3 linked regions of the Danio rerio genome follow. The protein of the gene in region 1 interacts with the protein of each later gene in a pairwise test. Links are inferred from orthologs where the notes say so. Each region holds a gene or a part of one and is shown in the gene's direction. Other genes may lie near its edges.

Region 1 (11,032 bases):
TAGGTTGAAATGTACACTTACAGCTCTGATGTGAACAGCTGAAATCCTCGATTTGCACACACACACAACAATCCACACACTTGTGTTTTGAATTCGAAGTTGCAGATTAATAGTTGTGTATTTGTAAAATGTCATTCACAAATACAAAGTGACAGACACACGTGTGCACGGCAAATTTGATTGCATCTTCGCTCTACAACCACAGGTCGGCACTCACAACCTCTCAGATTCGTCAGTACAACTACAAATCTCCCGCGCTCTGACTTTTGCTACACATCTCCCGCGATCTCTGTAGCAGAACTCATCTGTGCACTCGCAGATGCAGAGGCGTGAGCAGCGCGGGGCGGGGGAGGGGCGGGGCTGGTGTAAAGCTGTTTGATTGGCTGATGCCTGACCAATGAACAATGCCAGCAGCCAACAGGACTGAGGTGCAAAAGAATCATTTCCCACGATTATTTTATTATTTAGGGTTTATTTCAACTCTTTTCTGAAGAGATTTTTGTTAAAAATCATAAATTCTGTGGAAATGTACATACCAGTAAAAGAGCAGCAAAGCCAGTTTATTGGCTACAGCCAGCCAATGAGATGGGGCGTTTCTGTTTGTCAGCACACAGGGCAGCTCACGTTGTTGGAGGCCTCGAGCAATCAGAGGGTAAGTTATGATTTTTAATAATTATCTATATGTTCAATACTGTTAGCTAAGCTAAGGACTGTGCTGGGTGCTTCTCTTGTTTGTTTTTTATATAAGAAACAGTTATGAGTTATCTAGGAGCTGCTTTCAATCATGTTATATGGTTCTAAAGATACGATTCAACCCACATGAAATAAGAAGTTGTAATAGTATTTATAGTAAATAATATTACGTTTTTGAACCATACTAACTATAGTAAACTGTATTATACAGTATATATTGCAGTATCTACAACTTTGTTAATGAATGCAACAGCACACTGTAGTATTAACTAGCATGAACTGTAATAAATTGAAGTATATTTACACACACACACACACACACACACACACACACACACACACACACACACACACACACACACACACACACACACACACACACACACACACACACATTAATAGCAATTAAAAATAACACTAGGCGTTTCAGTTTCTTACAGATCATACCGGTTTTTGTTATTATAACCTGCATCATGTCTATCTATCCATCTATCTATTTACATGTTTGTGTACAGTGTGTCCTTTATATCACTTTTTTAATTATGAAAGTTACTAACTATAGGTTATTTCTCAGTTTCCTGTAAGGATGAAGTGACAGGAGAGATCAGCGTGTTTCAAGTCAATGAGGAACTCAGAGAAGCTGCATAGCTTGAATAGGATGTTATTTATGCTAAAGATGACATGATGATCCAGCTCATCTACAAACACTTCAAAATGATTCAGATCGTTCAAGAGGAAGCCGACTTTATTTTCTCTTTTTACCTGCCAAGATGACTACAGATTTGAACAAAACACACACTCACCCACACACACAACTTTTATTTTGATAATTGTTTAATGTAGTATTTTTACACTTTACTGTAAAGCAGGGGTGTCAAACTCAGTTCCTGAAGGCCCGTAACCCTGCAAGTTTTTAGTTGAAACCCTGCTTCAACACACTTAAGTGAAAGTTTTAAACAAACCTGAAGGACTCAATTAGTTTGATCAGGTGTGTTTAATTAGGGTTAGAACTAAACTTTGCAAAGCTGCAGCCCTCCAGGAACTTGGAGGAGTTTGCCCTCCAGGAGTTTGACACCTGTTCTGTAAGAGAATGTAATTTGTCAAATAAAATTTACAGTCCAAATAAGTGCAGTGCAAATGTCTAGTTACTTGTATTGAAATATTTCAGGGTTTTTCCTTGTTCATAATGAGATGGAGGTGGTAAATCCAACTTCATCATTACCCATCAAATGTTATCTCCTCTTTAATACTTTGCTCAAGCCTTTACTAAAGGTCAGAAAGCAAGCCATTGTGTAAAGCTGGTTGATGCTCGCTGTAATAGAGAGAGATGATGACTGTTCAGCTTATGTTGCTTAACCCTGCAGATGAGATGCTCAAAGTGGACCCTCAGCCAAGCGATGGACACTGTCTCCCTCACCTAGTTGCTCTTCCTTTGAACACACATATCATGTTGAAGGATGCAAGTTGTGGACCTAAATCAGATGTAATGCATGTAGATGTAAAAATTAGAAAGAAATGAAACTGCTTTAAAATGTATTAGGTTTTACATATAAATACATGTTTTTAACAGATTTGTTTCAACTTGATATTTGCATAATAAATGGCATTAGAATGTTTAGTTTTAAACAGATAGCTATATTTCAATTTTTTCAAGTTTAAGCTATATATATATATATATATATATATATATATATATATATATATATATATATATATATATATATATATATACATATATATATACATACATACATACAAGTATACTTCAATTTATTACAGTTCATGCTAGTTAATACTACAGTGTGCTGTTGCATTCATTAACAAAGTTGTAGATACTGCAATATATACTGTTTAATACAGTTTACTATAGTTAGTATGGTTCAAAAACGTAATATTATTTACTATAAATACTATTACAACTTCTTATTTCATGTGGGTTGAATCGTATCTTTAGAACCATATAACATGATTGAAAGCAGCTCCTAGATAACTCATAACTGTTTCTTATATAAAAAACAAACAAGAGAAGCACCCAGCACAGTCCTTAGCTTAGCTAACAGTATTGAACATATAGATAATTATTAAAAATCATAACTTACCCTCTGATTGCTCGAGGCCTCCAACAACGTGAGCTGCCCTGTGTGCTGACAAACAGAAACGCCCCATCTCATTGGCTGGCTGTAGCCAATAAACTGGCTTTGCTGCTCTTTTACTGGTATGTACATTTCCACAGAATTTATGATTTTTAACAAAAATCTCTTCAGAAAAGAGTTGTTAAAACCCTAAATAATAAAATAATCGTGGGAAATGATTATTTTGCACCTCAGTCCTGTTGGCTGCTGGCATTGTTCATTGGTCAGGCATCAGCCAATCAAACAGCTTTACACCAGCCCCGCCCCTCCCCCGCCCCACGCTGCTCACGCCTCTGCATCTGCGAGTGCACAGATGAGTTCTGCTACAGAGATCGCGGGAGATGTGTAGCAAAAGTCAGAGCGCGGGAGATTTGTAGTTGTACTGACGAATCTGAGAGGTTGTGAGTGCCGACCTGTGGTTGTAGAGCGAAGATGCAGTCAAATTTGCCGTGCACACGTGTGTCTGTCACTTTGTATTTGTGAATGACATTTTACAAATACACAACTATTAATCTGCAACTTCGAATTTAAAACACAAGTGTGTGGATTGTTGTGTGTGTGTGCAAATCGAGGATTTCAGCTGTTCACATCAGAGCTGTAAGTGTACATTTCAACCTACACATACAAATATTATTATTACAAGTGCTCACATTTACATTTGCAAGCTCTCGAGTTTCGCAACTGAATTACCTTCATATGAAGCGGTCTGTCATGTGGTCTTCCAGCAGCAGTGGTCGCTGTGGCGCCGCACTTGGTTTTGCTCTCCGCCGAAGGAGAGTGTCAGTCTTTCCTTCACTCTTGTTTTTGTATGTGAGCTGTAGCGTCTCCGTTTCTGGATGTGTCCTGTCTTCTTCACCCACACAGCGGACCTGTCTGTCGCTCATTACCCGGACACGTCAGTCACACCGACACCTTCTCTGCGGACCACCTTCACCCTCCTCCGCGGAGCTGGACCCGCACACCGGGACTCAGCACAGCCCGGTTTGGCTTGGTTCGGTGGACGGGACACAGCGGGGATTTAAACGACAGAGTCCGGCCAGAGATGGAGAGACGCAGACTGATGTGAACAAGACCAGCGCTATGGAGATACATCCACTGTAAGAGCTCCGTGTGTGTGTGTGTATGTGTGTGTGTGTGTGTGTGTGTGTGTGTGTGTGTGTGTGTGTGTGTGAGCTGCATGTGTTCACACTACTGTAATGTCAATATAGAGTAAATCAGTTCAGCCATGAGATCACATGATCACGTCTTTGTCCACACACCACCAACACTCTTTCTGTCACATGTTCAGCAATTCACATATGTCACATTTGATAACTGCCATATGGCCACTGTAGAGATAAGACATTGTGTGTGTGTGTGTGTGTGTGTGTGTGTGTGGTCCAGGTAAACCTTGCATTGTGGTGGCCAAATGTTTTCACAAGGAAAGTCATTTTTGCTTTGTGGTGACTTTTTTTTTAGTCGTCTGCTTGTAATTATGCAGTTTTAGGTATGTAAACATGTAGAAGATCAATTAATAATGTATATTAATGATAACTGTTAGCCCATTAGCATAATTTTTGTGTTGACAATTAACTGCCAACTGTGCCAAGCAAATAAATGAATGATTAAAACCATTCTTTAAAAATAATTTTTCTTTTTCGCTTAGTCCCTTCATTAATCAAGGGTCGCCACAGTGGAATGAACCGCCAACTTATCCACCACGTTTTAGGCAGCAGATGCCCTTCCAGCCACAACCCAACACTGGGAAACACCCATACACTCTTGCAAACACTCACATACACTACGGCCAATTTAGCTTATTCAATTCACCCTCTACCGCATGTCTTTGGACTGTGGGGGAAACCGGAGCACTCGTCAACATGGGGAGAAGATGCAAACCCCACACAGAAATGCCAACCGACCCAACCAAGGCTTAAACCAGTGACCTTCTTGCTATGAGGCGATTGTGCTACCCACTGTGCCACCGTGCAGCCCTGATTAAAAAAAATAATGAGCAATTCCATGCAAATGTCAACCTTGCCATGAAAAAAATTAAGTTTTCACCAAAATAGAGAAACCGTTTGTACAGTTTTTGTGTGAGCAAGTATTTTACAGTACTTTAAAAGTTCATAAATGTATCTTTCAGTGTTTCAAACTATTATATTTAATTTACCAAAATCACACAAGTGGCAATTTCACAACTGTAACATCCATAATGGAAATGTGTCACATCCATAACGACACTTTTTCCTCATAAATGCAAAAATGTCAAATAAAATAAAATCATTAATTTTTGTTCTATAGTGAGCCGACTCATATCTGTTTGTTTCTTTTGGGTTGTGCAGTTTAATTCACAGATTTTCTACAAAGTATGTTGTATACTGTAAACTCGCAAACTTTTCTTTGTCACATCCATAATGCATGTTTATTTTCCTTATTTAAAGTATAAAAAATGTTTACAGATTGATATTTTTCTGATCCCATAACTTTGTGGCTAGTTGTTTTGGAAAATATAAACAGATGTGTCAACATAATGTTAATGTATACTTTCTATGTGAATTTATGTTTTGAGTTTTAACTGCAAGTGTCACATACATAATGCTGGAATTGCTCATATATATATATGTATATATATATATATATATATATATATATATATATATATATATATATATATATATATATATATATATATTTTTTTTTATTTATTTATTTATTTATTTTTATTTATTTATTTATTTTTTTAACTGTACAAACTGTACAGTGTATTTTCACAGTATGTCGGATTTTTTTTTCTTCTGGAGAAAGTCTTATTTGTTTTATTTCGGCTAGAATAAAAGCAGTTTTTAATTTTTTAGAACCCATTTTGAGGTCAATATTATTAGCCCCTTAAGCTATATATTTTTTGATAGTCTACTGAACAAACCATTGTTAACCTGCCTAGTTAACCTAATTACCCTAGTTAAGCCTTTAAATGTGACTTTAGAAGTGTCTTAAAAAATATCTAGTCAAATATGTGTACTGCCATCATGACAAAGTTAAAATAAATCCATTATTAGAAATGAGTTATCAAAACTATAATGTTTAGAAATGTGCTGAAGCAATCTTCTTTCCGTTAAACAAAAATTGGCTGAAAAATAAACGGGGCTAGTAATTCGGGTGCTAATATTTTCGACATCAACTGTATATTGTCATTATCTGTGGAAAATGTGTATGCATGTTTCCCAGTACTGGGTTTCAGCTGGAAGGGCATCTGGGGACATTCTAAATTGCTTAATGTGAAAAAAGCTTATCATGGCTTAATGTACATAAACATCAACCAGAGAAACCCAAATTTCTGTCAAACTTTACTTTGACAGAAATTTGGGTTTCTCTGGTTGATGTTTAGGTTCATTGAGCCATGAAAAGCTTTTTTCACATTAGGCGATTTAGAATGTCCCAGCATACGCTGTTCAACACACATGCTGCACAAGTTGCCGGTTCACTCCGCTGTGGCGACCCCTGATGAATAGAGGGACTAAGCCGAAGGAAAATGAATGAATGAAGTATCTGTGTAAAATGTATGGAGTAGGACTATTTACTTAGTACAGGGGTTGGCAAACTCGGTCCTGGAGGGCCGGTGTCCTGCATAGTTTAGTTCCAACACTAGTCAAACACACCTGAAGATGCCAATCAGTGTCTTCAAAAACACTAGAAATCTATAAGCAGGTGTGTTTGATTAGAGTTGGATCTAAACTGTGCAGGACACCGGCCCTCCAGGACCACTCCTGATTCATTATGATGTGAAAGTTAAAGTAATACTCAATATTTGTTTAGGCTTTTAAATTTTCTTTATTTGAATTAACACTGCACTATATCACCGCTATTTCAAATAAATGTTATTATGTCAAATAACCAAATAAATTATTAATAATTTATAAAATTATGATGTTTGTATGAATTATAAATTATAATAACTATGAAAAATGCCCGCCATATCACCCTGCATTCCAAAACCGGTTACTCACTGAAGCTAAGCAGGGCTGAGCCTGGTCAGTACCTGGATGGGAGACCACATGGGAAAACTAGGTTACTGATAGAAGCGGTGTTAGCGAGGCCAGCAGGGGGTACTCAACCTGCAGTCTGTGTGAGTCCTAATGCCCCAGTGTAGTGAAGGGGACACTATACTGTCAGTGAGCACCATCTTTTGGATGAGACGTTTAACCGAGGTCCTGACTCTCTGTGGTCATTAAAAATCCCATGGCACTTCTTGCAAAGAGTAGGGGTGTAACCCCAGTGTCCTGGCCAATGATCCATCATGGCCTCCCAATCATCCCTATTCACTGAATTGGCTCGATGACTGTCTCTTCACTCCACCAATAGCTGGTGTGTGGTGAGCGCACTGGTGTCGTTGCCCTGTGGCTGCCGTTGCATCATCCAAGTGGATGCTGCATACTGATGGTGGTGTGGAAAGACCTTTGGGTGTATGGCCATACACGATAAATGCGTTTTATATATATATATATATATATATATATATATATATATATATATATATATATATATATATATATATATATATATATATATATATATATATATATACACACACACTATACAATACATTACATTAAATGGATACTATGTCAAAAAATAAAACACAGTACAATTATTTTACAAAAATATGAGTGTAAATATTATATATATTAATTAATTCTTGATCATGTTTAATTATTAAATCATGTTAGTCAACTATGCCTTTTTAAATAATACAACCTATATGTAATTGCCTAAATCAGCATAAACTATCCACTACATGACCACTACATCTGTAATATTTATTACCCTGATTAATATTACATAAAAATACAAACTTATCTTGAAATGTTACTATTCCATATATATATAAACAGGAATAGATCCTATGGCCATCTTTGAATATCTTCTCATATGCCGAAGCATTGAAATCAGATATGAATGTCTATTTTATATATACATGAACATATATTTGTATTTCAGTTGCACTAAGCTTTGCCATCATAAAGCTGTGGAGCTGAAGGATGATGTGTATGAGAAACAGAGTGCAGTCACCATCAATCCACGACACATGAAGAAAGCCTTCAGGATCATGAACGAGCTCCGCAGGTGTGTGTGCGTGCGTGCGATATTTGGGATGATATGTTTCACTTTATTTAGAACTTAATGTAAAATATATGCGCAATATCACACTTGTAGAGTGCGATATGGCTGTATATTGGCACGGGTCGGAGGCGTGCGTTGGCCGAGTGCCTTAGTGTTTTGCTTACTTTTTTTGTAGTAAAACATTTTGCGCAGACCGAGTGTCTTAGTGTCTCACCAGTGATGATTAAGGGTGTCACGATCCTCCAAGTCCTCGATTCAATTACATTTTCGATTCTAAAGTCACGGTTCGATTCGACTTTCGATTAAAAAAATAAAAATTAAACAAAATCAGAAACAAATCATACAGTAAATGAATAATAAGTTACACACATAATTACCACTTGTCAATAACTTTTTTCGTGAACTCATAAATAGGCAGTGATCTGTGTCCTTATAATGGCGTCGGTAAAAAAGGTGCACAACCAACAGGAACCAGCCAACAGTATCTGAGGTGTTCGCTAAAATTACTTAGTACAAGTGTGAAAGTGAAAGATTGAAGTAGTCTACTGACACGCTGACTGCCTGTACCCGCTTTCTCGAGCACATAACAGTGTGTGTGTGCATCTGTGTGTGAGCCTGTGTGTGTGGTCTTGTGATGTGCGTTTTCAGCGGTAGTGAGGAAGGAGGGCTGCTTAGTAATGCAAAACGCCAGTGTAGATGTGGATCGTTGTCGTTATAAAATGACATTTATAAACTAAGACCTATTAGTGTAAACAGGGCCTGAGTGTGTATTTTTCGCGAGCGGATTTGCAACGGGGGCGGAGTGGAGGATCGCGATGCCTGCATTTTTCTAACGGCCCAACCTTAATACTTACATAGCAGAGCTTGCAAATTGTCGACGGGTCTCCTGCGTCTGCAGTTCAACAAGCACTTCAACAACCTTTTTTCCGCTTGGCAAGCCAAGCTGACATGACATGTGGGCGTGGCAGCATCAACGATTCCATTTTTTGATTCGATAATCGAAATTGAGCATGAATTTCGATTGATTTAGATTTAAAACCGAAATCGTGACACCCTTAGTGACGAAATACAGCCACGTCGCACTGCTACAAGTGTGATATTGTGTTTATGCAACAATTCGATTCCATAATCATGTATATAAAAAGAAAATCAAACACAGAGAATCTAAAAATCCTTTTGTACAAGGAACTGCTTTCCTTTGCCTTCCATTCACATCTGCAGCTGACGTCAAAACAGCAGAATCCGTTGCTACTTTACAAACCTTACTTTAGAGCCAATATTTGAATAATTCTCTAGCGTGATGTCTACAGTGAAGACAAAACAGGTAATTTTGCCCACATTTTAAGATTATATGCTATCAGCCTACAGAGATTTCCCAGTATTTCTCTGTTGCAGTCGGGAGATCACAATAATAAACCTCGAAAAAAGCTAAAGCAAAGCAAACACTACCAGATTACTATGGTATAAATACAGCGCTACAACTTACAAAAGAGAGAGATCGACTTAGAATGCCACTTACCTGTTTAGTAATGATTTGACTAGCTGAAATATTAAAAGAAAACGCTGAGTTTTTCTCCTCTAAGGACTTATTATGCAGTCTTTGTTACCATCTTGTGGCGCAACTGTCTTTACTCTGCTCAGTATGACTGAGTTCTGTGGACTTTCTCATGATTCTGTCTCCATTCCCAGAATGTTGTAATTTTGTATAAATTCTGAAAATTTATTACCGTAAACAATGTATATTGGGACGCTACAAAAATAATGATAGAGCATACATTGCATCCGGAAAGTATTCCTAGCGCTTCACTTTTTTCCACAATTTTTATGTTACAGCCTTATTCCAAAAAAGATTAAATTCATTTTTTTCCTCAAAATTCTACACACAATAGAAGAATTTGTTGCAAATTTATTAAAAATAAAAAATGTAACTATATATGGAGTATGGTGTGTGTTTGTGTGCAGGGTGGAAATTATACATTGACAATGGGGTTCAAGTTATATTCGGTAATATGCCTCCGTAAACCAACATTATATATTTAATTCATATTCATCTAATTTATTGATCTAACTTGTTATGTTTTCAGTGTTTTGAGGGATAATAAGTGGTTCTCAATGATATTTGTGATAATAAATTTTTTCTTTACTGCACCTATTAATGGATGACTATGAAAAACTGCACATATTTTTTTTATTTTACTTCCATATATGAGCCACTGTATAATAAAATACAAACTATGCATCTAGTTTTACAGACACCTACAAACACTTTTTTTAATGAAACATGCTTTGTAACTACTTACAGTTTGTGTTGGTGCTCTAGATTTGCCATTTTCAAACCGATGGATTCATATTTTTGGCGCATACACATTCACGCATACGCATTCACAATGGTATGAACCCTTATATGGGTGGACAAATGTGTATTGAAGTTATCTATTATAGTAATTATTAATATTATTTAAAATACAGATCAGAGCAAACTATTTCTCAACTATTAAAGGGCAGACCTCATATATCTTGTTTTGATGTCCTTTGGGGGGGGATCAAGTGTTAATTAGGAGGGTCAGACCTCCCCAAACGCCCCTGTAATTGCACCCTGTATGTATGTATGTATGTGTGTGTGAGTGTGAGAATGGTCTTTGCGCACTTAACTTGATATGACATATAAAAGCCATAAGCTGTTTTTCCACAAGCCTATCTAAAGGTTTATTGGTGTCAACTGATGATCAACACTGAAAACGACTATTTTTTCCAAGAGATTAAGCTTAGCTGATGATTGATTATAAAGCGTTTGGCATGTTGTCCAGGAGAGAGCCCTGAGCTCTTAAGATCCTCGAGCCCAGGGCTCCCTTCTGTTGCAGGGCGAGAGGGGAGTTTGAGCTCAGGTAGATCTCGAGAACTCCCCTGTTGTTGTAGCTAATGAACAGATAGTGATTGCTCTTAAGTGATAACTACTTACTGGGAGCATGTCTATGGTGCTGATTTGGATTAGTTCATTAACTTAAGTTGCAAGTTTTTGTGACAGTAGGGGGACCCGGGGGAAACCAACGTGAGCACAGGAAGAACATGTAAACTCTGCACAGAAACATTGGCTGGCTTGGTAAGGA
Region 2 (11,076 bases), about 1.2 Mb from region 1:
CTGACAACAGAATATATTATGCTGGCCACCTTTACTGAAAGTTTATTTCCTTTAAAAAAATCTTTGCTAAAGCTTCATCAACCATGAAACAAAACCAACCAGCTACAAAAAACAGAGTGCAATTAAAATCCATGGTCTTTTGTTAATTTATATACAAGTAAAACCAGTTTTGTTGCACAGTACTTGACAGAGTTTTCAATAGTCATGTCATGTTAGATTTTCTAATCCCTGCTTTGACTCAGTCACAGGCAGACATAGATGAAGAGCAAGAGAGGCTGTGTGTTTGTGTGTGTGTAAATGACACGGGAATATCTAATAGCTCATAGTAACGCGTGTTACTGTGCATTCACACCGAATGTGGTGAGAGCATTCAAGGTCGCTACATTGATCTTGTATTTAAGGCTGTACTCACTCCATGTACAGTTGCCTCGAACCTGGCCAAAGCACTCTTGTCCCCCCTCCCGTCTCCTCTGACGGCCCGCACTCACACTGCAATCAGGCCTGGGCACGCTTACGTCATCGATGCTTTGCTGTTCTGTAAGCACTCTCGCTAAGCACAGTGGAGATTTCTCTAGTCATATTGTTTCAGTCGTTTGTTATGCAGTGACACACAGTCAAATTTTCGCCAAACAGTCCTTAGGGATGCGGTGACACGCAGACAGATATTTCGCCGAACAGATCTGCCACTTTTGGCACTTAAAAACAATCATAAAGCCCTCGTGCTGCAGGAATGAGGAGGTCTGCTGAAGGTGCACAGCTGTCGTGCAGTGAGGGGTTTGCGTCTTTAATAATCTAGGGCAGTTTGCGTTCATTGAACAGTAAGAATGATTAATAAAATCCATATGAAACAGTCCCTTAAAGCTACGTCTCGCTTTCAGTTTCGGGCTTTGGCCCACCTCTTCCAACCGGGCCAGGGCCGGCCAAGTGAACCGTGCCTGAGCCCGATTCAGCGCACACACACTTCTTAAACGATCCGGAAAACGGGCCTGGGCACGATTCGGATAGCATAGTGTGAGTAAGCCCTAAAGGGGCTGTTGCAATATGTCATATCAGTTACATTTCTGCATAAAACTTGCTTTCTAGCATGAAAATGTTGCGCACTTCTTATCAAATTCATTTAACAATGGAAGATCAAGTTGTGTGTGGTGTGGCTTTGCTCAAATTAATTATCCAATATGTCTAAAATATCCTTAAGCATCAATACTATTTTGTACTGTCGCATGGGATTCCTGCTTTTTTAAAGATAAATATATATATATATATATAACATTAATGCACATCAGTAACTTATTTAAAGTATGTTCCTGCCAGAAAACATTGTAAATAATTAAAAATCTGGTAAACCGCAATCATCAGACCCTTAGGAACAACTGTGGTCGGAACAGTTCTGTGTTCGCTGAATTTCTCTTAAGCGGTGGACTACTTCATTCTGATTGCTTGCTGGGGAACTGCGTCATAGCTTGATACCATAAAGTTGACTTTACTTCAACTCTCCTCGACGCCCACACCGGCGAAGACGTGCCGCACTGCTCCTCGCCACAGGCTCTCATTAAAAATGAACAACTTCCGGCTACTTTGACTCTTTCAGTGCTTTCGGTGTGAACGTACGGTAAGCTACCTTTTCGCAAATATTTTTGAGCATATTTTGGAGTTGGTTAATTCCCATCGACTGGTGAAGAACAGGTCAGTGTCCTCAAGATTACACAGAGGAATGAAGGCTCTGTCACAGAGGTAATATGGTAACTAATGTTTGAAAAGCACATTTATTCAGGTACAGTAGGTACCGCTGCAGCCCGGAGACCTCCAAGCTGGAGGGATTACACCGCAAGTAGGTTGGGTGATCTCCAAGTGGAAGGGACTTAAACCACAAGTAAGTTGGGTTTAGGTGGTGTAGGTGGAGCAGATATTATTAAAATACATCAGGTTACTGTGAGGTTGGGGAAATTCATAAAGCACAATATTGGACTCCGCGTCATGTACAAGACATTAAATAAATAAAAACTCCAGGTTTGTACAGCCCACATGGAGCTGGCTCTGACCTCCGTTATACCCTTCTCCATTTATTTCTATTATGATTTTATGACACATCTTCCAGCCAATCAGAATAGAGAATTTCAACAAACCATGTAATAAACACAGATAGCATACCAGCTCATTTTTGTCAGTCACATCATATAAAGAAATCTTTTGCTGCTCTTTGCTCTCTGCGACTCTCTGATTGGTTGAATTGTCTACACTGCATGGGTAATGCAGTTTAATGCACAAATTCTGCTATTATACATGCCTTGCTTTAAAATATGTTAATAAAAATTAATGTGAACAGATGAGATCGACAAAAGCATGTACAACAGATTAATAACGTTAAACTCAAAACAGACCTGAGAAGTGGTTTCCAAAGTGGGAGTCGGTGCTTGGGGATTTCCAAAAATCATTTTCATTTTATTAAACCATTCAAATTACTATATTTTATCCATAGCCTAAAGAATATAAAAATTGTTACAATAACAACATGCAAATAAAACGCAACAAGCTGACCACCTGAGTGATTATTTTATATTAAAGTCACATGCAGCAGATTGACTTTATGGCACCAGGTTAAACTTTCTGACACCTTTTGCTTTAAGAAATCATTAGTTATACTTATATAATTATCAGTTATTGTAGGTATTGTTAATAATCCCTTTCTTTGGCAACTAACTCAAATAACTTTTGTTGTTAAAGTACTACAATTTACATTATTTAAAGCAAACATTTAAAACTTAAACTAGTTTTACAAATTCCAAAAATAAATCATATAATCTAATGTAATTCTAACACAGAACTGAAAAACATGAGTTTAAAATATATGTCATAATATTGGCCGGCAGCCCTGCACTGCGTTTACTTAAAATGTGCTACATGTTGCAGTGCAGCATAAAAAAGAATTTACTTTTAAAAATTTACATTAAAAATTTACTTTGTTGCCGCTTTACGTAAACAAATCTTTGTTTTGTGAGAGCTGTATTTATTCCTGTGTCAAATTATTATACAAGTAAAAGTGAACATTTATATTCTTATGTTGAAACTCTTTGGTTTGGACCTAAATTAATTGTGCAAACAGGCCAGATTTGAGCAATGGAGTTCATTGTGAGGTGATTGCATTAGATGGAAATCCCTTTACTGATCTTTTCCGTCACATTGAACCACCTATTTAACACTGCAATCAGTATTCTTGTATTATCAGTTGGTAAACAGGGTCAGTTCACTTCCTTCTAGGAAACTGCATGATTGTCATACGACCATGTATTTGGAAAGAGTCCATCAAAACACATTGCTGAATAAAGGCATATGTTAGCCAGGTATGTTAGCACATAAATCAATACCAATTTTTTGCAATATAATAGTTTTTTTTCAAATATTTAGTTTTATTTCTAAAAATTGTATTTATATATTTTTTTTCACATTCTTCTCTCTCAATTTTTCATTCCCCAACATCCAAGCTTTCACTTCTATTAACAGGGTTAAATAGAAAATTCACTTAAAATTTTTATTCTGTCATTTACCCAACTTGAAAAAAATGAATAAATAAAAAAAAATAATTAAATGAAAAACTATATTTTAATAAAAAAAGTGATCAAGTGGACTGTTTTTTGGGTAAATGTACCTTATTTTGAAAGTTAAATAAAATTATATATCACACAAAGCTATGGAAAAATTAAGAGACCAGTTAAAAAAATTCATCTCTGGATTTACGATTTATGCATTTTTGAGTTACACATATTTTCGGTTGCTTTCTATAGATTACAGATGACAGATGATGTCTTTCAAGTTACAAATAAAAACGTCATTAATTCATTATAAATAAACATTAGTTATTATGTGAAATAAAAACTAAATAATTAATCATCAACAACAGCCTCCCATTTAATATTAAAAACAACACTGCAACTTGTTTTTATTTACATTTAGAATAAGGTGTTTTGACAGGTATTTGCCTCAAATTTAGGTGACACCACAAATCTGGCGTGATTAACCAGCAGTGTTCTTTCTACTGACTCTCCCATGAAACCCTTTTCCAGTCACTCTAACAAGAATACAGGGACAAAAAAATGGAGCACAACAGAAGCCAAATAGACATAGGCTAAACACTTAAAAAACAAGAGAAAACTCGCAGGTATTGTGCAAGCATAATTGCATCTAGGTGTTACATAACTCAGCTGACCAGACGCAGAGCTCGTGCGTGTGACTCTTCAGCGCGTACAGATCAAATAACACTACGGCCTGCGAGTGATAGCACAATAAAATGCTGATCATAAACTTGCACGAGCCTCTGCTCTTTATCATAGAAATAAACAGCTGGATGCAGCGGAGAGCTCGTCACTGTCATTTAAACGCTCAGACTGGCACGCGCTTTTTTACAGACTGGCGCGTGCAGGTGTGCAGAGCGCGTGACTGTGTCTCCATAGGTATAGTAACATGCGCGTGCTAACGGTCCTACTTACCGCTGCTCCGCTCCCGTCGAGCAGTCCCGGGCGCTGCCGTTACCGTTACCGACTGCTCTCTTGCTGAAGAGCTTTTGCAGCAACGTCGGCATGCTGTTGCTTTGCTTTTCATCAACACAAAATCTGGGCTTCGCGTTTCCCCATTGGGACGAGCGTTCAGACGCAGGTTTCTAGTAAAGATCCATGCTGAAGTCATGTGACATTCGCACCAGCTGAGCGACGACGCAAACAGAAACAGAAGTCCGCGGGCGCGCTCTGCTGACGGGGACGCGCACTCACACACTGCCGTTGCAACTTGGCACGTGCAGAACGTGCGCACACTCTGCAGAGATTTTCTGGTCGTTGCTGTTTAGTCATTTGGTATTTAACGTATTAATATTAAAATGCTTGGCTTTATGTAAACTAAATTAAGGCATTTATATATTAAGTAAATAGTTATGTATTATTAAATCATTTCTACATCGTGATAGTATTCTCTCTGAATATAAATACAATAATACAGTAAAGTTAAATAAAAAGCAAAACGAGAAATAATAATAATAATAATAATAATAATAATAATAATAATAATTCATGTAAAACATAAAAATTATAAAGAGTAAAGTAATTAATATTAGGTAGATTAAAAGCTTTATTTTTGACAAGTTCTTTGATTACTGATGCAAAATTACATTTGAAAAGCAATATAAAGTTTGTATCAAAACTAAATGATAACCGTTCTGCAGTTGGACAATTTTGTAAATAAGTATTATAATTGTTTAATTTATTATTTTAAATTTATATTAATATATATTATTTAGTTTATAAGAGTAATAAGATTAATGCCTAAAACCTGAATGTACAAAGTAAATATACAATGGATAAAAAGTCAAACCGTGCCATAATGTTTAAACTACCATAAAACATTAAAGTTATACAAATAAACGTTATGGTCATAAATATGAACGAAAGGTTGATAAAGTAATTTTGCAAAAAAGAAAAAAGAAAACAGCAGTAAGAACAATTTCATATATATATTATTTACAGTTTTTCTGAGATTTTTTATCTTGTGTATAAAGAATTTAGATTTATAAGGGACCTACTAGGCTTGTGGTAAATGTGTAAGACACGGAACAAAAATACCGTTGAACCGGTCCGTCCTTTAAACCTTCCCCCCATACGTCACACGTGTAAACGATAGACGTTTACTTAAATTAACAAATATGGTAAGTTTTAAACTCATTTTCGACTACATAATCAGAATATACATTTAAATGTCGCGTTTACTAATTGGCGTTCTTATTTCAGCCTAAAGGGAGAAAACCAAAGGGGCCGGTGGAGAAAAAGGTTATTCACCCATACAGCAGGAAAGCCGCCTATCTGGCCAGAGATGCCATCAAACAAGAGAGGAAAGAAAAGTAAGAGCCTTTTCCAATTCACGATTTATTTTTTTGTCCCTAAAAAGCAAATGAATTTATACCGAGTACTGTTATTTTTGTTAATGTAGCATTTGTATAATCACCTCTAGGTTAAAATGTGAAAAGGCCCAGCGTTTAAATTTAGTTGGTGAGTAGTTCATTATTTATTATTCTGTATTGTATTTGTGGAAGCAATGAATGTGAAAGTTTTTGTCATTCTGTTAGCTTTGGTATTTTCCCAAAGCTAATGGAAACGTGTTTTGCTAACATTCAATTAAAGGGCTAGGTCACCCAAAAATGAAAATTGTCTCACCATTTACTTGCTCTCATGTGGTTCCAAATTTTTAAGGACTTGTTTCTTCTGTTGAATACAAAACAAAATATTCTAAACATTCAGTTCGTTAGTGTTGTTGAGTTTGTTATGTAAACGTTAGAAAAGATATTAAGTTTGATTATTTTTGAACATTCTCAGAATCATTCCAGACAATTAATTATTGACGTTTTAAAACATGTTTTAACATGCCTAACTTTCCAATAATACATTTCAGGAAAAAAAATGTCTAAAAGATGCTTAAATAATATTTTTGTCTTACCAGATAGGTTATAAAAGACAGCTTTGAACTAATATGCAATTATCATTACTGGAGGAACATTTGGTTGTGTCTTGGAGAAAACATTGGCAGAACATTAGCATAAGAACATAAGTTCATCTAATGTATTATTTACCTGTTTGCTGATCACTCATTTTCTGCAGGTGAAAAACTGTTGTGGTTCCAAAACCAGCTGAACCCTGACAAGCCAGAATACACCAGACAAGATGCTTGTGAAATAACTGAGAGGTATGACACATCCCGAGGTTTAAATATGATAAAAAGTTGTATATTAAGAATATTTATAAATACAACTTTCTCAGGTATCTTCAGCGGTTTGATGGGGAACTGGAGCAGATCGAGCTGGCGAACAGCATCAAAGGCCGCCAGGGTCGCCAGCACAGCTCTAGAGAGGCCATCATCAAGCAAACCATAGAGCGAGAGAGAGCTCAGTATGAAGGCAATGGCTTTGGTAAATAATTTAGATGTCTTTATTTGTTCCCTTTTAATAAGAATTGCATGATAACCATGTTGAAAATGTTTGAACTAAAATGTTTCTCATAATAATTAGGACACTATTTAGAAGGAACAAAACTGTGTTTTATTATGCCACAGACCCCTAAATATAATTATATTAGATTGTAAAATGCATCATACTTCATTTCAAGTTTTAACATTTAGCTGATGATTAATAACAAAGCTTGTGTGGCATGCTGTCCTGGGAGAGAGCCCTGAGCTAATGAGATCCTCGAGTCCTGGGCTCCCTCCCGTTTGGAGGACGAGAGGCGAGTTTGAGCTCAGGTAGATCTTGATGAACTCCCCCCAGCTTATTTCTGGCTAATGACAGGTATAGGATGGCTGAGGAAAGATGTACTAATAGCTTGGCTATGGTATCAATTTGGTATTTTCAGTTTACTTTGGGTTGCGTGTCTTTTGGACTGTGAGAGGAAACTGGAGAACCTGGAGAAAACAACTAAACTTAACTGGTTAACTAGTTTAGAAGAGACTTTAAAGCTGCGGTCACACTGGGCTTTTCCTCCCATAGACTTTCATTCATACGCACGCTAATGCATCAGGCCGGAAACTCGGTATCATGTGCTAAGTTTCACAGGTTGTATCATGTGCTAAGTTTCACAGGTTGCTTCGGTGCAAAGTTCAAGCTTGGTGATTTCTGACCTGCGAAATCGCATCACTTGACTGCGTGAGAACAATCGAGGATCAAAACATGACCACTCTGGACAGTAATTTAAAACATGGAGCAATCGCTCACTTTTTTAATGCCTAATAATTTTGTTTATTCCTGCCCCTTTTCGCAGCGCCGCACGACACAATTTCGCATAATCAGACTCCAGTGTGACCGCAGCTTAACCAGAGACATTCTTGCTGTGAGGCAACAGTGCTAATCACTGTCACCCATCTGGAAAGGAGGGGGAGCAGGGGTGGGTTCTTCAAGACAAAGATATTCAAATAGGAAATCTAGTTATTTATAGTGAGTTTAAAAATCATGTAATTGGAGAATCAATCATGAGCTGATGTGAGACCAGCTGAGAACAATCATAAGCAGGTGATCCTCTTGAAATTAGTTTATAAATAGACCTCACTCATGCTGTAAAAAATGAATACTGTTTAAAAAATGTTTAGTTTCTAAATTTCGATAATATACATTACTACACTTTGCCTCTACTCATGTTAATTTATTCATTAACACGGATTTTATATTTTATTACACAATTTAATTATTTTATTTAGTTTAATCAGTTTTTAAAGGTTCATTTTAATCATTTGTTTGTTGTTTGGAAGTTTTAGATTTTTGTTTTTGCAATTCATCTTGATCATTTTTATTGGTTATTTTATTTTTATTTTATATTTATATATTTATTAATATTTAATGAAATGATTTTATTAATTACTATTAATTGTTATTATTTTAATCAGCTTTATTTATGTGTTTCGTTTACATTCATTTTTTTTAAAGCTTCCTCACAGACTCTCCTGTGACCCCCTGTGGGTCAGGTTTAGAAAAACTGCACTAAATAGTAAAAAAGTTTTGTTTTTTTTACTCTTTTTCACTTTACAGAAATTCCTGACATCATCAATGCTAAGCATCTGAAGATATTCAGGTAGTTGCTACATCGTTTATTTTGTTAAAATCATTCTTTTTGTTAATAACATCTTGCACAGAGTACTGAAAAGTCAGCATGTGTTTGACAGAGAATGGAACGGTGACCTTAAGAAACTGCCCTGCATTAAGATGAGAAAGCTTTCAGCCAAAGGCTCCGACAGCAAACCGTCTACAGTTTCACAAGATACACACATGGAGGAAGAGAACGAGGAAGATAAATCTCTGGACTCTGATTCTGACCTGTGAGATCTACTGCAGTACACAGTAGAGGAATAGACTTCATGCTGAGTGTAAGGACAGAAAGAGCCAGACATTGCTCGATGTTTTATACTACTGGTGTTTTTTTTTTAACCAGACTCTTGCAGAAACATTTTGTCGTGAGGAGAAAACTTAGTCCTTCAAGTACCACAGGGCTATCAACACACAAATAAACAGAGACTTTGAAATGGGTTAATACTGAACATTCATGGAGTTTATTGCACTGGCTGATTTTTGCAAGTTTTTTATATTGTGCATCTGAGTTGTGAAAACTGACATTGATCGAATCTCACTTAATTATGACACATTTTTAAAACTGGATTTAATATGTCAAATCATCATTGCAGAAAATCACATAATACAAAAAATGTAAAATCAGCTGAATTCTTTCCGAATATCGCATAGTAAAACATGATCCTCTTCAAACCTTAATATTAAAAGATCTCTTTCATGTCAATAAATAAACAAACAATGTTCTCATTCAAACCCTTCAACACATAGCTTCTCAATTACTGCATATTTAAAAAATCAAAATTACATTAAAATTAATAATAGTGCTAAATTCTTTAATTTTACTTTTACTGAGGAAAAACAAAGCCTGGTTACCATAGTTATCAATTTGTTTAGCTATTTTTAGATGAAATCTTTTTTTGTTTGTTTTACTTTTTATTTTTTGACATTGAAATATATTTTTATTTATCAGTGTCCTTTTTATACACTAAGAATTTATATGCAAAAGCCTCTAAGCGCCAATCTGAAATCTTATAAAAAATGTGCATGCAAAAGCCTCCTCAAATTTTTCTTATAAAGAATTTTTTTTCTCATAAATTTATTAGAAATGTTTCTTAGCCTCCTGTGTTTATGTTCAGTTATTTCACTTGAAGGCAGTCAAAAGAACAATAAAAGTGAAATGATTAAACCTAGACACTGGATAAAAATGCTCATTTTAGAATAACATTTCAGATGGCACTTACTGCGGTAAAAACAGTAAATTATTAATTATTTATTTAAACAGTAAAAAAAAACAGAAAATTAGGATAATTACATGTAACGCACCCTAAACCAAATCACATTTTTATCTTTAAATCTTTACTAAGTATATGTAATTAATTAATTAATATTACACAATACTTAATTGTATTACAAAGTATCAAAGACATCTTAAAATAAAATGCAACAAATGATACTGCTTATTTTGATCAAATGGCTGCAGTAAAATACAGATAGGTTTCAGCTTTTTGGGGAAAAAAACCCTGACAGCATGCTTTCTGTAATAGCCATATCTATCTGAAATGCATTTTCACCCATAGAAATGAAAACTACAGTAACCAGGCAGGGTATGAACTGATGGTGCCTCCTTTACCAAATTCAAACCAACTTTAAAACTATAAACAAAACAATCAATTCCTGTCAGCTGCTTACTCAGATCAGTAAAAACTATGAAAATGTATTCACATTATAAAAGACAACAAGCTATCTACTGAATGCATGTCTGTCAACACTTGTATCTTTGGTTTAAGTTTATTTTCCAGAGACTCACTGAAGTTAACTGTATTCCACTCGAAGGAGACTCTGATTAGACAGTTCAGCAGAGATGAGTGAAAACACAGCTGTGGTAAAGGTTAGATCTATAGAGGATTGGCTCAAGACCTTCTGCCATGTTCACCTCTGCTCAAATTCAGATGTCACAGAGTTCAGGCTGATCTACAGAACAGGAGACGATGGCTAGAACACTTCAGAACAGGTTATGAGTGTAGGAATGTTCCCTTTTGTTGGCTAAATAGTAAGAAGTATATGTAGGTTTAGGTTATAGAATATGGCTGCCAATCAGATAAACATTTTGCATCAACTTTATATGACTACAAATGAGAAGGTCGTTTAAGACTGAATGGCTCAGATAGTAGGAAAGTCATTATGCTAATTATAGACTGGAGACATGATTATATATGATAACCTTTTATATAATAAAATGCACTAGATGGCCATGTACACTACATAAAAACTACTTGGTTGTCCATACATCTTTTTTAGTGCTTGTGCCTGTTCTGTGCATACATAGGGGTGACAACCACACTGATATACATAAAATTCTGGTAGTATATGAATATTAAAAAAAATCACAGTTTTTCTAGTAGTTTCATTCAAAATCTAAATTGAAAATATGTATTTGAATTGGAGTGCGTCTCAATCAGCTCTCTTGTTCCGTAGTCAGGGCACTGATAAGGGAG
Region 3 (10,546 bases), on another chromosome or scaffold:
CAGTTGCTCCGGTTTCCCCCACAGTGCAAAGACATGCGGTATAGTTGAATTGGGGAGGCTAAAATGTCTGTAGTTTATGAGTGTGGGGTGGGTTAAGGATGGAATAAGGATGGGTTGCAGCTGGAAGGACATCTGCTGCCTAAAACATATGCTAAAAAAGTTGGCAGTTCATTCCGCTGTGGTGACCCCAGGTTAATTAATAAAGAAACCAATTACATTCCGCTATACTCCACCTAGACTTTTAGATTTCTTACAGTAAAATTAATCTTGTTTCTTTCTCTTTGCCAGAAACATACATGATACATTTTTTGGTGAAGGAAGCCTCAGGCCTGTACACTTTGACCAGCATGCTGTACATGCACCTGACGAAAGCTGATGCTAAATCAGTCTACCACTGCATAGTGGAGTACACCATGCCAGACAACCAGATCAAACAGGAGAGCTCCGATAACTTCAACATCTCATTGCAATGTGAGTTTTACACACAAACACACACACACACACACAATGAAATCTCCACCATTACTGCATATGTACTGTACTGCATATAAACTATTACTCCTCCAATCAGATTCAACAGAAAACGTCTTCTTCAAAGTGAAGAACGAGGGGCCAATCAAAGAGGGCGATGATGTGGTGATGCAGTGTGAGACTGATGGAAACCCTCAGCCACAGTTTGATTTTTTTAAAGGGGTAAGAGACCATACATGCCAAATCACAACCAACTGATCTAGTAATGGTCATTACTCTTACTCATGTTTTCTCGCTCACTCATAAGGAAAAATTGCTGGAAGGATTGGGAGGCACTTTGAAAAAAAAGAGCATCACTCGGGAGGATTCTGGAACTTATAAGTGTGAAGCTATGGATTATGAAGCTGACAGCAAAGTCCAACTTCATAAAACTCTAAACATAAACGTGCACTGTGAGTATGTAAACAAGACATAATAACTAAAATAAAGTATGTGAATAGTTTATTGATTCACAAAGTTTTCCAATACTGGGTTGCGGCTGGAAGGGCATCCGTTGCGTAAAAAGATATGTTGGTATAGTGGGCAGTTCATTCCGCTGTGGCGACCTCTGAAATAGAGACTAAGACAAAGGAAATTTGAAAGAATAAATGATTTCACTATGATCACACTAACATTTACATCTTTTAGAAGAGATAAATACATATTTTGAGAAAATGCTCATGAATTGGAGAAATTACTGTTATTATTATTGCATGGGCTGTACATATATGCTTTGGAAAACAACTGTGGGGATAAATTAAAGAGGATAAATTAAGAGTTCCTATAAAAAAATTCAAGTTCACTGGATTTACAGCATTTATTATTAGTGGTTTTTATTTGAGATGTTAATAATTGCTTAATTCTGTAAAAGTCTGATACCATTCTTTCTAAATTCTAATTGAAATATGGTCATTTAGAGAATTTATTTATTTCAGAGCATTTTATTAAAAAATGCCAGTTTTTTTTTAACTCAGGGCTATTTCACCAAATGAAGATCTAACTAAACTGTTGCATTTCAATGTTCAACTGGTCTTTTAATTTATTCTTTGTAATTATATTTCTTATTTATACTTTCAATCTTTAGTTATTTTAACTTTTGGGAATTCATTTAATTTGTTTTTGTGGTTTTTAATATTAAATTTATTGTATTTCACTTAGCTGCAAATGCTACATTTATATTTTTAGAATGGAAAATACCTGAAATGCAAAAAAAAAAAAAAAAAAAAAAAATATATATATATATATATATATATATATATATATATATATATATATATATATATATATATATATATATATATATATATATATATAATGCTATTATAACTTGTCAAAATATGTTTTTTGTTTGCATTTTTATTGTTTAGCTATTTTGCTATTTCAAGAAGAATTTTCTAAACAAGCAAAACATATTGCCTTGTTTTGAGAAATATTATGCCAATATTAAGTCAGTTTTTCCTTAAAACAAGCAAAATAATCTGCCAATGAGGTAAGCAAAATAATCTTATGTCAAAAGAAAAAACAAGATTATTTTGCTTACCCCATTGGCAAATTATTTTGCTTGTTTTAAGAAAAAACTGACTTAATATTGGCATATTATTTCTCAAAACAAGGCAATATGTTTTGCTTGTCTAAAAAATGCTTCTTGATATAAGAAATTTTAGATATTTAGACTAGAAACAAGACAAAAAATCTAAGCAAGAAAAGCATTTTTTGCAGTGAAAGTATTAGCCATTTAAAGGCTAATAAAATAAATATGACACAGCTATATAACATACTGTACATGGGCATGACACATGCTACATTTAGAGAAAGAAAAAAATTGCCAAAAGTAATAATATTATTCAGAAGATCATAATTCACACATTAAATATTTGCTTTGTATAGTTTTTGTTTTACATTATTCAGGTGATACAAAACACAGATGTTTCGGCACTATGCCTTCCTCAGTGTGTGCCTTCCTGGTCCCACAGTCAATCACATTATGTCATTAGTTAGACAGCCACTCGATAATTAAATATAATCTCATTTTCATTTCAATAAACCACAATCAACTACAAAGGAAATATTTACCTTCGCCTTCAAAACATTATAACACTTGAAAATAGCATATCAATTATTATCACACACTTATTCATGTCTACATCAATGCAAGGAAATTCCGAAAGTTCAGAATAGTAAGAAATACATTTTCATTACATTATTTGTTCAAAATCTATGATTCACAATGTTATAAAAACAAACCGTTAAAGAAACACAGAAATGTCCAATTCCTCATTGATTCCTCTTGTGAATCATGACCTTCTGAATAATATTATTGACTAGATTAACACACCAAAAAAGTTTTTAAAAAATTGTGAGCATGCAGGGCAAACTTCATTACTCAGGCAAAAATAATAAGAAATAAATTTCCAAAACCTATTAATGTGGTTTAGTATTTCTCTGTAATGTAGAACAGTGCTGGAAATAACAGTGTTTCCCTGCCTTAATTACAACTCTAAAAATCTCCAAACAATTTAAATAATGTCATGTGTTTATTAGTCAATAAACTAGTCAACAAAGAAAATCTTTATCTTGACTGTATTAGCTTAGGTATCCAAACACCATGATTTTGTTATAAATGGGACGTATCCATCCTAGGCTCGATACATCAGAAAAGAGTTTTCTGAGAAAATGTCAAACAGCAAAAATTTCACTTAATCAAGATGTTGATTAAAAGATGTGTTTATCTCTATGCATTCTTTTGTTGTGCTATCAGATATCGACATAACAGTGGAACCAGAAGGGCCCTTGGTTGTTTCTAAAGGAGATCATGTGGAGCTTCAGTGTAAGGCCAAGGCTTCTGAAGCTCACACCCTGCAGTGGACAAAGGCAAGTGAAGATAATCTCTTCATTTTTTCCTGCACTCGTTTTTGTTATAATATTATGTTGTTGTTGTTTGTTATTACTCAAATACAATTAAGGTGCTAGTTCATCCAAAAAATCAAAAGTCTGCCATCATTGCAAAACCAGTTTGAGCTTCTTTTTTTCTGAGAGAAGATATTTTGAAGAATGTTGGAAAACCTCATTATTTTCCCCTTATTATAAAGTCAAATCAAATCATTTGTATTTAACACTTTCTACAATGTAAACTAAGTAAAAATAGCATCTACAAAAAAAGAGACAATAATTAATATTACGTATGATGTCAATAATTAAAAATGGAAATGGCAACGAGTGCAGCATGTGATGTCATCATTCACATACAGAAATGTCAAATACGTACTGTATAGCAACAAAATTAAGATAACTTTTTTAATCATATTTTCATATGTAATTGACACTTTTTGCTACTGCTTAAACAACAATGCTTTCTTTTTCCAAATATTTATTTTTTTCATGCACCTCTTGCCTGGGTGAGAGCCCAAGAATTAAATTCATTACCATTCACCATATCTTTATTGCCATTTCAAATCCATTTTAGTTCCTAACGAGACAGAATTTTAGCAGAGAGACAAAAATCTCCAATTTCAGTAAAAATAGCTTGAATTTTATGTAGAACATGAAACAAAAAGTCTTATTGGTTTGGAATAACACAAGCAAATCTGAATTTTCTTTTTCAAAATATTACTTTAAAGTCACGGTTCACCCAAAAATGAAAATTTACTCACTATTTACTCATTCTCAAGTCATTATAAACCTTTATGAGGTTCTTTGTTCCATTGAACACTAAATTAGATATTTTAAAGGAAGGTAAAAACCTGTTACAGGTTTTTAGCTTTCTTCATAATATCTTTATTTGTGTTAAACAGAATTAAAAAAACTCAAACCAGTGAAAACAAGTGAAAAGGGAGGAAATTATGGCAGATTTTTCAGTTTTGAGTAAAAAAATATTTTTATTTGGCTGTATATTTTTTGGTTATACTAAATCTTAGTTGACTCAGTGTCTACGTTGTCTTTCTGTAAACCACAGGACTCGAAGGAGCTGTCAAACACTGGTGTATTTGCTAAGGAGTCTGTGACTCTGGCTGACGGTGGTGTGTACGTGTGTGTCGGAGCTGTACCTTCAGTGCCAGGTCTTCAAAAACAAGTCAACATCACTGTTAACGTCAAAGGTATTGAGTGCATTACCAGACAAATACAGCTTTATTGTGGTTTATCAGTGCAAAGTTTCAATAAATGCTGTCATCAGTGTCATAGCAGCTTGTGTTCAAGTGATAGAGCTAAACTATGGGCTGTCAACAAACAGTCAGTGCTTGTTGTACCAGCTGGTTTTCATTGTGTGGATATTATTGTATGTTTAGATACAGGTAGGAGTTCAATGTCAGAGGAAAATACTTCCTCAATCAAGCGTGCCAATTCTAAAAATACAATTTATGCCACACAGATTGTAAGAATATTAAAAAAATGATCAGGCTGCGCCAACAGACCAGTTGAACTCAATGAGAAAACCCCTATAAAAATCTCCAAACCAAAAATGTATATGACACAAAATTAGTCAAAGATGGTCAAACACCAGTCAAAAGTTTTATTTAAAAAACAATAAAATTGTCAAAATATTAATACATTTTAAGATGTAATTTATTCCTGTTATACGAAAGAAGGCTGTATAGAAAAATAAATATACCCTGCAGTCAAAGGACATCTATGTCATATTGACATTGTACCCCAACATCTTGGGGACATTTGATTTTTGATTTTACCCCCAGCCATGTCACCCTGCAGCCCAAGACCGGTTACTCACTGAAGCTAAGCAGGGCTGAGCCTGGTTAGTACCTGGATGGGAGACCACTAGGGAACACTAGGTTGCTGTTGGAAGTGGTGTTAGTGAGGCCAGCAGGGGGCGCTCAACCTGCAGTCTATGTGAGTCCTAATGCCCCAGTAAAAGTGAAGGGGACACTACACTGTCTGTGGGCGCCGTCTTTCGGATGACATTAAACCGAGGTCCTGACTCTCTGTGGTCATTAAAAATCCCATGGCACTTCTCGTGAAAGAGCAGGGGTTTAACCCCGGTGTCCTGGCCAAAGTCCCCCTATCGGCCCATACGATCATGGCCTCCCAATCATCCCCATCCACCGAATTGGCTCTTTCACTGTCTCTCCACTCCACCAATAGCTGGTGTGTGGTGAGCGCACTGGCGCTGTTGTCCTGTGGCTGCCGTCGCATCATCCAAGTGGATGCTGCACACTGGTGGTGGTGTGGAGACACCCCACATGATTGTGAAGCGCTTTGGGTGTATGGCCATACACAATAAATGCGCTATATAAATACATTACATTGTTTGGAAATGAAAATTGGGTTTACATCAGTACCCAACGTCAGGTCGACATCAATGTCCAACGTCCATCGTAAAATTAACCAAATATTAGCATCTAATCATGTTACACCTTGACGTTGTGTGGACGATAGCACTATGACATCTATCAGACATTGGGATTTGGTCACTTTCCATTCCAACCTGAAATCAACCAAATATTAATGTAATTTGGTTTGGTTATTGGACCTCAAAAATCCTTATAGATATTAAATTTTGGTCACCTGACGTCATGACCTAAATCTAACCTAATGTTAACGTCTTATGATGTTGTGTGCCTGCTGCATAATTTTACGTCAATATATGGAATTGATTCAATTTCAAGGATTCATATTTAGCTGTTAATTTACATATATGTGACCGTGGACCACAAAACTATCAGGGTTAACTTTTGGAAAATGAGATTTAAAGAGCCCATATTATGGGTTTTTGAAAATTCCCCTCCATGTAGTGTGTAACACAGCTCTAAGTGAAGTGAAGTATCCAGCTAAGGCTTAAATCTGTAAGAATACAGTGTTTAAAACTGTTGATTCATCTATAAAAGAGTCGAATCATAGTGCTTCAAACGAGTCGCCTTGATACCGACTCATTAGGTGTTTCGCCATGACGTACGAACGAAACAAAGTTTTTCACGTGCACGCGCAAACCCGGGAGATTTCAAACCTGAGGCCCCGCCCTCTGACGCAGTAACCCAGACACACACACACACACACCCACAAACACACGCACACCCACAAACACACGCACACAAACATGCCGGTCGATTGAAGTCACACTGCAGATGGATATATTGAGTCTCTACCCAAAGATGAAACATCAGCATTATAACCAAGCAGTTGGAAACTTCTGGAAGCTACATGCTACAAAGAATACTTCATCTGAGTTTGTTAAAGGAAGGATCAGTAAAGAGTAACTGATGGACGTCAGGATGGGTTTCTTCCTACATTTCTCAAGTGTAAGTACGTGCGGTTAAAGTTGTTTCCTCGTTTACTCTAGCTTGCAAATGTATTTAGTTGTGATTTGTTACTTGTAACCGCGTGTACTGTATCAGGTTAACTGGATATATTATCTTATCGCGTGCAAAGTCACGTTAAAAACGCGACGCGTGCTGTTTGTTTATGGAGCTCCGTGCTAGAGTTCTGCTCCCGCGATTTATTCGGAAATGTATTCCCGCGCCGCAGAAATCTGGCGCGGGGAGAGAGAGAGAGAGAGAGAGAGAGAGAGAGAGAGAGAGAGAGAGCGAGAGAGAGAGCGAACGAACGAACGAGCTTTGTGTACTTTGTGCTGTGTGTATGTGTTTATACAGACATCTTGGCTGTCTGGACTGTATACTGGGTGATATTTGGTTGTGTTCTCCGCTCTAGCGGGACCGGGCGCGGCGGGCAGAAAACGGAGCGGGTTCTCAGGCTAAAACCTGGCGGGTGCGGGCTGAAGCGGGAGCGTTGTCATCCGGAGGTGTGTGTGTGTTTTTGTGTGTGTGTGGTATGGCGAGTACACGACTGTCTCCTTCGTTAGGTTATCCGTGGCACTATCCACTCGCCATAGTGTGGCAGCTAAAGTCAACGCCTACACTATCGAGCGTGTATGAACTGTGATTACTTTTTAAATTGCTGATTAGCTATTGGCCATTTCCCTCTCTGACTGAAGGCAGTCGACCAATCGCGACAGACTGTCATCGGCCCAATCAGCGCAGATTAGCTCCGCGCTAAGGAGGGGTTTGGGAACAAATGAATCACTGGACGATTCATACAGGAGTCGCTGGGATAATTAGATAAAAATAAATGCAGATTATAAGACCATGAAAGTGTTTTTTGACCTTGCATGCATATTAGACTGTTGTTGGAGACCCTTACAACCAAGATATGACCTTATTTCATGTATAATATGGGCTCTTTAAATATCATCTAAAAGCTGAAAAACTAGAAATTTTCATATTACTAATCCAAAATTACTCTTAGATAGGTTTGTTGAATGATATTTGCTAAATGTTTTCAATGAAGAAGATCTCTACTTAAGAGACTAATTATTTTTGGCATAAAATGAAAATCAATCATTTTAACCCATACAGTTTATTTTTGGCTATTCCCAAAACTTACCCCTGCAATATAAGACTTGTTTGTGATCCAGGTTCACTTATGTTTTTACTTTAAAGGGTACCTATGGTGTTTGGACAGAAACATGTTTGAGTATAGTGTATAGGAGGTCAAATTGGAGGTCAAATCGGGGTGATATAAACAGTCCTTTTTTTAAAATTTAATATTGTGTCCGTCCTGGGTATGTGTGTGTGTGTCTGTGTGTGTTTGTGTGTGTGCGCGTGAACTTTGTAATGACATTGTATGTGACTCATCGTTGTAACTTAACACTGCAAATGCATCAAATACTCATTGGTTAAGATTTTACTGTAGTATTTCTCACAAACACCACATGTGATCTGCTTCCTTTATGTGTGTTTGATTCATAATACATCTGTAAAAAGGGGTAACCTAGGTGCCCTTTAAATGATTAAATGTAAAGAAAATATACTAGCATATATATTACATTTGAGTTTGGATCAATTTTCAACAACCATTATTCCAGCCTTCAGATCCTTCAATTTCCAAAATCCATGATCAATTGTATGTATCCAAGATGAATCAAATGAATATTAACAAAGGTTTTGAACATAATGTGTATGTTCATAAAAATGCTTATCTCCTCATAAACTAGCTAAATGAGTTTCCTTGCAGTAAACAAACTCACCAACTAAATAGCATCATTAACATTCTCATTTACAGTTTAATATGATAAATAACTATTTGCTTATGCTGTACAAATGTAATTTGAACACCTTAAACTCAAGGTCTAAACAAACTAATTTCCATACTGTAATTAAACCACTCTTGTGTTTCTTTAACTTGGAAATACATTAATTCTGCTAAGAATTACTGAAAGAGATCAAATGAGACAGTTGAAGAAGAGAGTATCTCACTTTTTAAATCCTCATTGGCTTTGGCTTCACATCAAATGTTTTGATTAATCTGAAAGCAGTTTGATTTCATTCAAGGCAATTTCCTTAAACTCCTGAGATATTTCCAAGGCCACTAACAATGTGAGCAGTCACTGTTAAACTAATTCCTGTATTAATACTTGAATCCAGGCTGCTAAAGAGTGTTATCCTGCAGCTTGTTGCACTGTAACACTCAATGACATCTCATTGACATATCTTATGTGTGCAATCAAGAAAACTGTCATTTTAGTTGATTTCCTGGTTTTGCTCTATATGTCTACATTTACAGTATTCATGAGTGTAGTTCACACCTTTTCCTGGTTTCCTAAAGTTCCCCCTGGTTCTGAGCACATGGATTATGATACATTTTTATACTGAATATTGCAGTGATTATAAATGATGTATCCAAATTAATAAAAATATTGTACTATTCTCAGCTGATGCATTTTCTGAAGGAAACCAATGTATTTACATGATTCGAATTTGCATTGTAGCGAAAAATGGACCTGGAAACTGGAAATGCTGCAAAATTAGAATGAACTTCTATTTCCTTTCTTTGTCCTATAAATATGAATGAAAGTCAAAAGAGTCAAAGGAACTAAAAGTTTAGTCTGACCACACTTTAAAGTCAGCATGTAATTGAAGTTTTTTTTTCTCATATTGTGAAATATTTTTAAGTGAAAAAGCTTTTGGTAAAGATCTGATGTAGGACGGGATTTGATTTCATCCTTCAGTTTGGATCTTAAGAAATGCCATTACTAACTACACAGACAATTGTGGAATATTTATAGAGCCCCACTTTCCTCGAAGTGGAAAGGGAGGTTAATAGTTTAATAACAATTATGATTAGTGCACCTTTTATGATTTTTTTTTAAAGGTGCACTGATAAATCACCTGTATACTTAAAGGCACAGTATTTTGGGAGCAACAAAAGCAGTGGAGCTTTTATTATGCCACAGTGGGCCGCTTCTTGTTTTTTAGTCATGGAAGAAGCAGTGCTTTTTTTATCATTCTAAATACACTGTACAGTCTAATTAAACATATTAAAACGTCCTTGTTGTTTCCTTGTTTTCCAGAAAACCCAACCAGATTTTGAAGATTTGTGATATGATTAGCATGCCCACACAATACATGGCCCATGTCACTTGTCACTAGTTAAAATGACCTACAGTTGAATTCAGAATTATTACCCCCCCTAAATTGTTAGCTACCCCCCACCCCCCGGTTATTGTTTTCCCCAATTTCTGTTCAACGGAGAGAATATTTTTTAACACATTTCTAAACATAATAGTTTTCATAAACCATTTTTAAGCACTCATTTATTTTATCTTTGCATGATGACAGTAAATAATATTTTACTAGATAATTTTAAGACACTTTTATACAGCCTAAAGTGACTCAACTTGATTAATTATGTTAATTAGGCAGGTTAGGGTAATTAGGCAAGTGGTTGTTTGGTTTGTTTGTTGTTTTTTATTTTGGCTAGAATAAAAGCAGTTTACATTTAAAATAATAATAATAATACTAAGTCCACTGTTATACAATGACTTGACTAATTATTATAACTTAATCTAATGAACCTAGTTAAGCCTTTAAATTGCACTTTAAGCTGATTACAAATATCTTGAAAATATCTAGAACTGTCATGATGGCAAAGATAAAACAAATGAATTATTAGAAAATAAGTTATGAAAACTATTATGTCTAGTAATGTGTTACAAAATTAGTCTTTCCCTTAAACATAAATTGGGTAAAAA

Evidence for each region.
Region 2: the proteins of klhl2 (region 1) and tma16 interact in binary tests that used the Homo sapiens proteins (3 or more experiments, as listed by UniProt). The two-hybrid records come from large-scale screens. The link is inferred for Danio rerio from reciprocal best matches to the Homo sapiens genes KLHL2 and TMA16.
Region 3: the proteins of klhl2 (region 1) and bcam interact in binary tests that used the Homo sapiens proteins (3 or more experiments, as listed by UniProt). The two-hybrid records come from large-scale screens. The link is inferred for Danio rerio from reciprocal best matches to the Homo sapiens genes KLHL2 and BCAM.

What each region holds. Positions count from the first base shown.
Region 1 is NC_133176.1:22,474,415-22,485,446, reverse strand, and holds the start of klhl2 (kelch-like protein 2), read left to right. Parts: upstream 1-3,607; 5' UTR 3,608-3,905; coding exon 3,906-3,922; intron 3,923-7,802; coding exon 7,803-7,928; intron 7,929-11,032. UniProt on the Homo sapiens protein: Substrate-specific adapter of a BCR (BTB-CUL3-RBX1) E3 ubiquitin ligase complex that mediates the ubiquitination of target proteins, such as NPTXR, WNK1, WNK3 and WNK4, leading most often to their proteasomal degradation.
Region 2 is NC_133176.1:21,261,106-21,272,181, reverse strand, and holds tma16 (translation machinery-associated protein 16), read left to right. Parts: upstream 1-5,579; 5' UTR 5,580-5,683; coding exon 5,684-5,686; intron 5,687-5,768; coding exon 5,769-5,878; intron 5,879-5,988; coding exon 5,989-6,026; intron 6,027-6,632; coding exon 6,633-6,717; intron 6,718-6,791; coding exon 6,792-6,940; intron 6,941-8,545; coding exon 8,546-8,588; intron 8,589-8,679; coding exon 8,680-8,836; 3' UTR 8,837-10,248; downstream 10,249-11,076. UniProt on the Homo sapiens protein: Involved in the biogenesis of the 60S ribosomal subunit in the nucleus.
Region 3 is NC_133191.1:25,330,713-25,341,258, reverse strand, and holds part of bcam (basal cell adhesion molecule isoform 1 precursor), read left to right. Parts: intron 1-288; coding exon 289-471; intron 472-571; coding exon 572-693; intron 694-778; coding exon 779-923; intron 924-3,268; coding exon 3,269-3,381; intron 3,382-4,462; coding exon 4,463-4,604; intron 4,605-10,546. UniProt on the Homo sapiens protein: Transmembrane glycoprotein that functions as both a receptor and an adhesion molecule playing a crucial role in cell adhesion, motility, migration and invasion.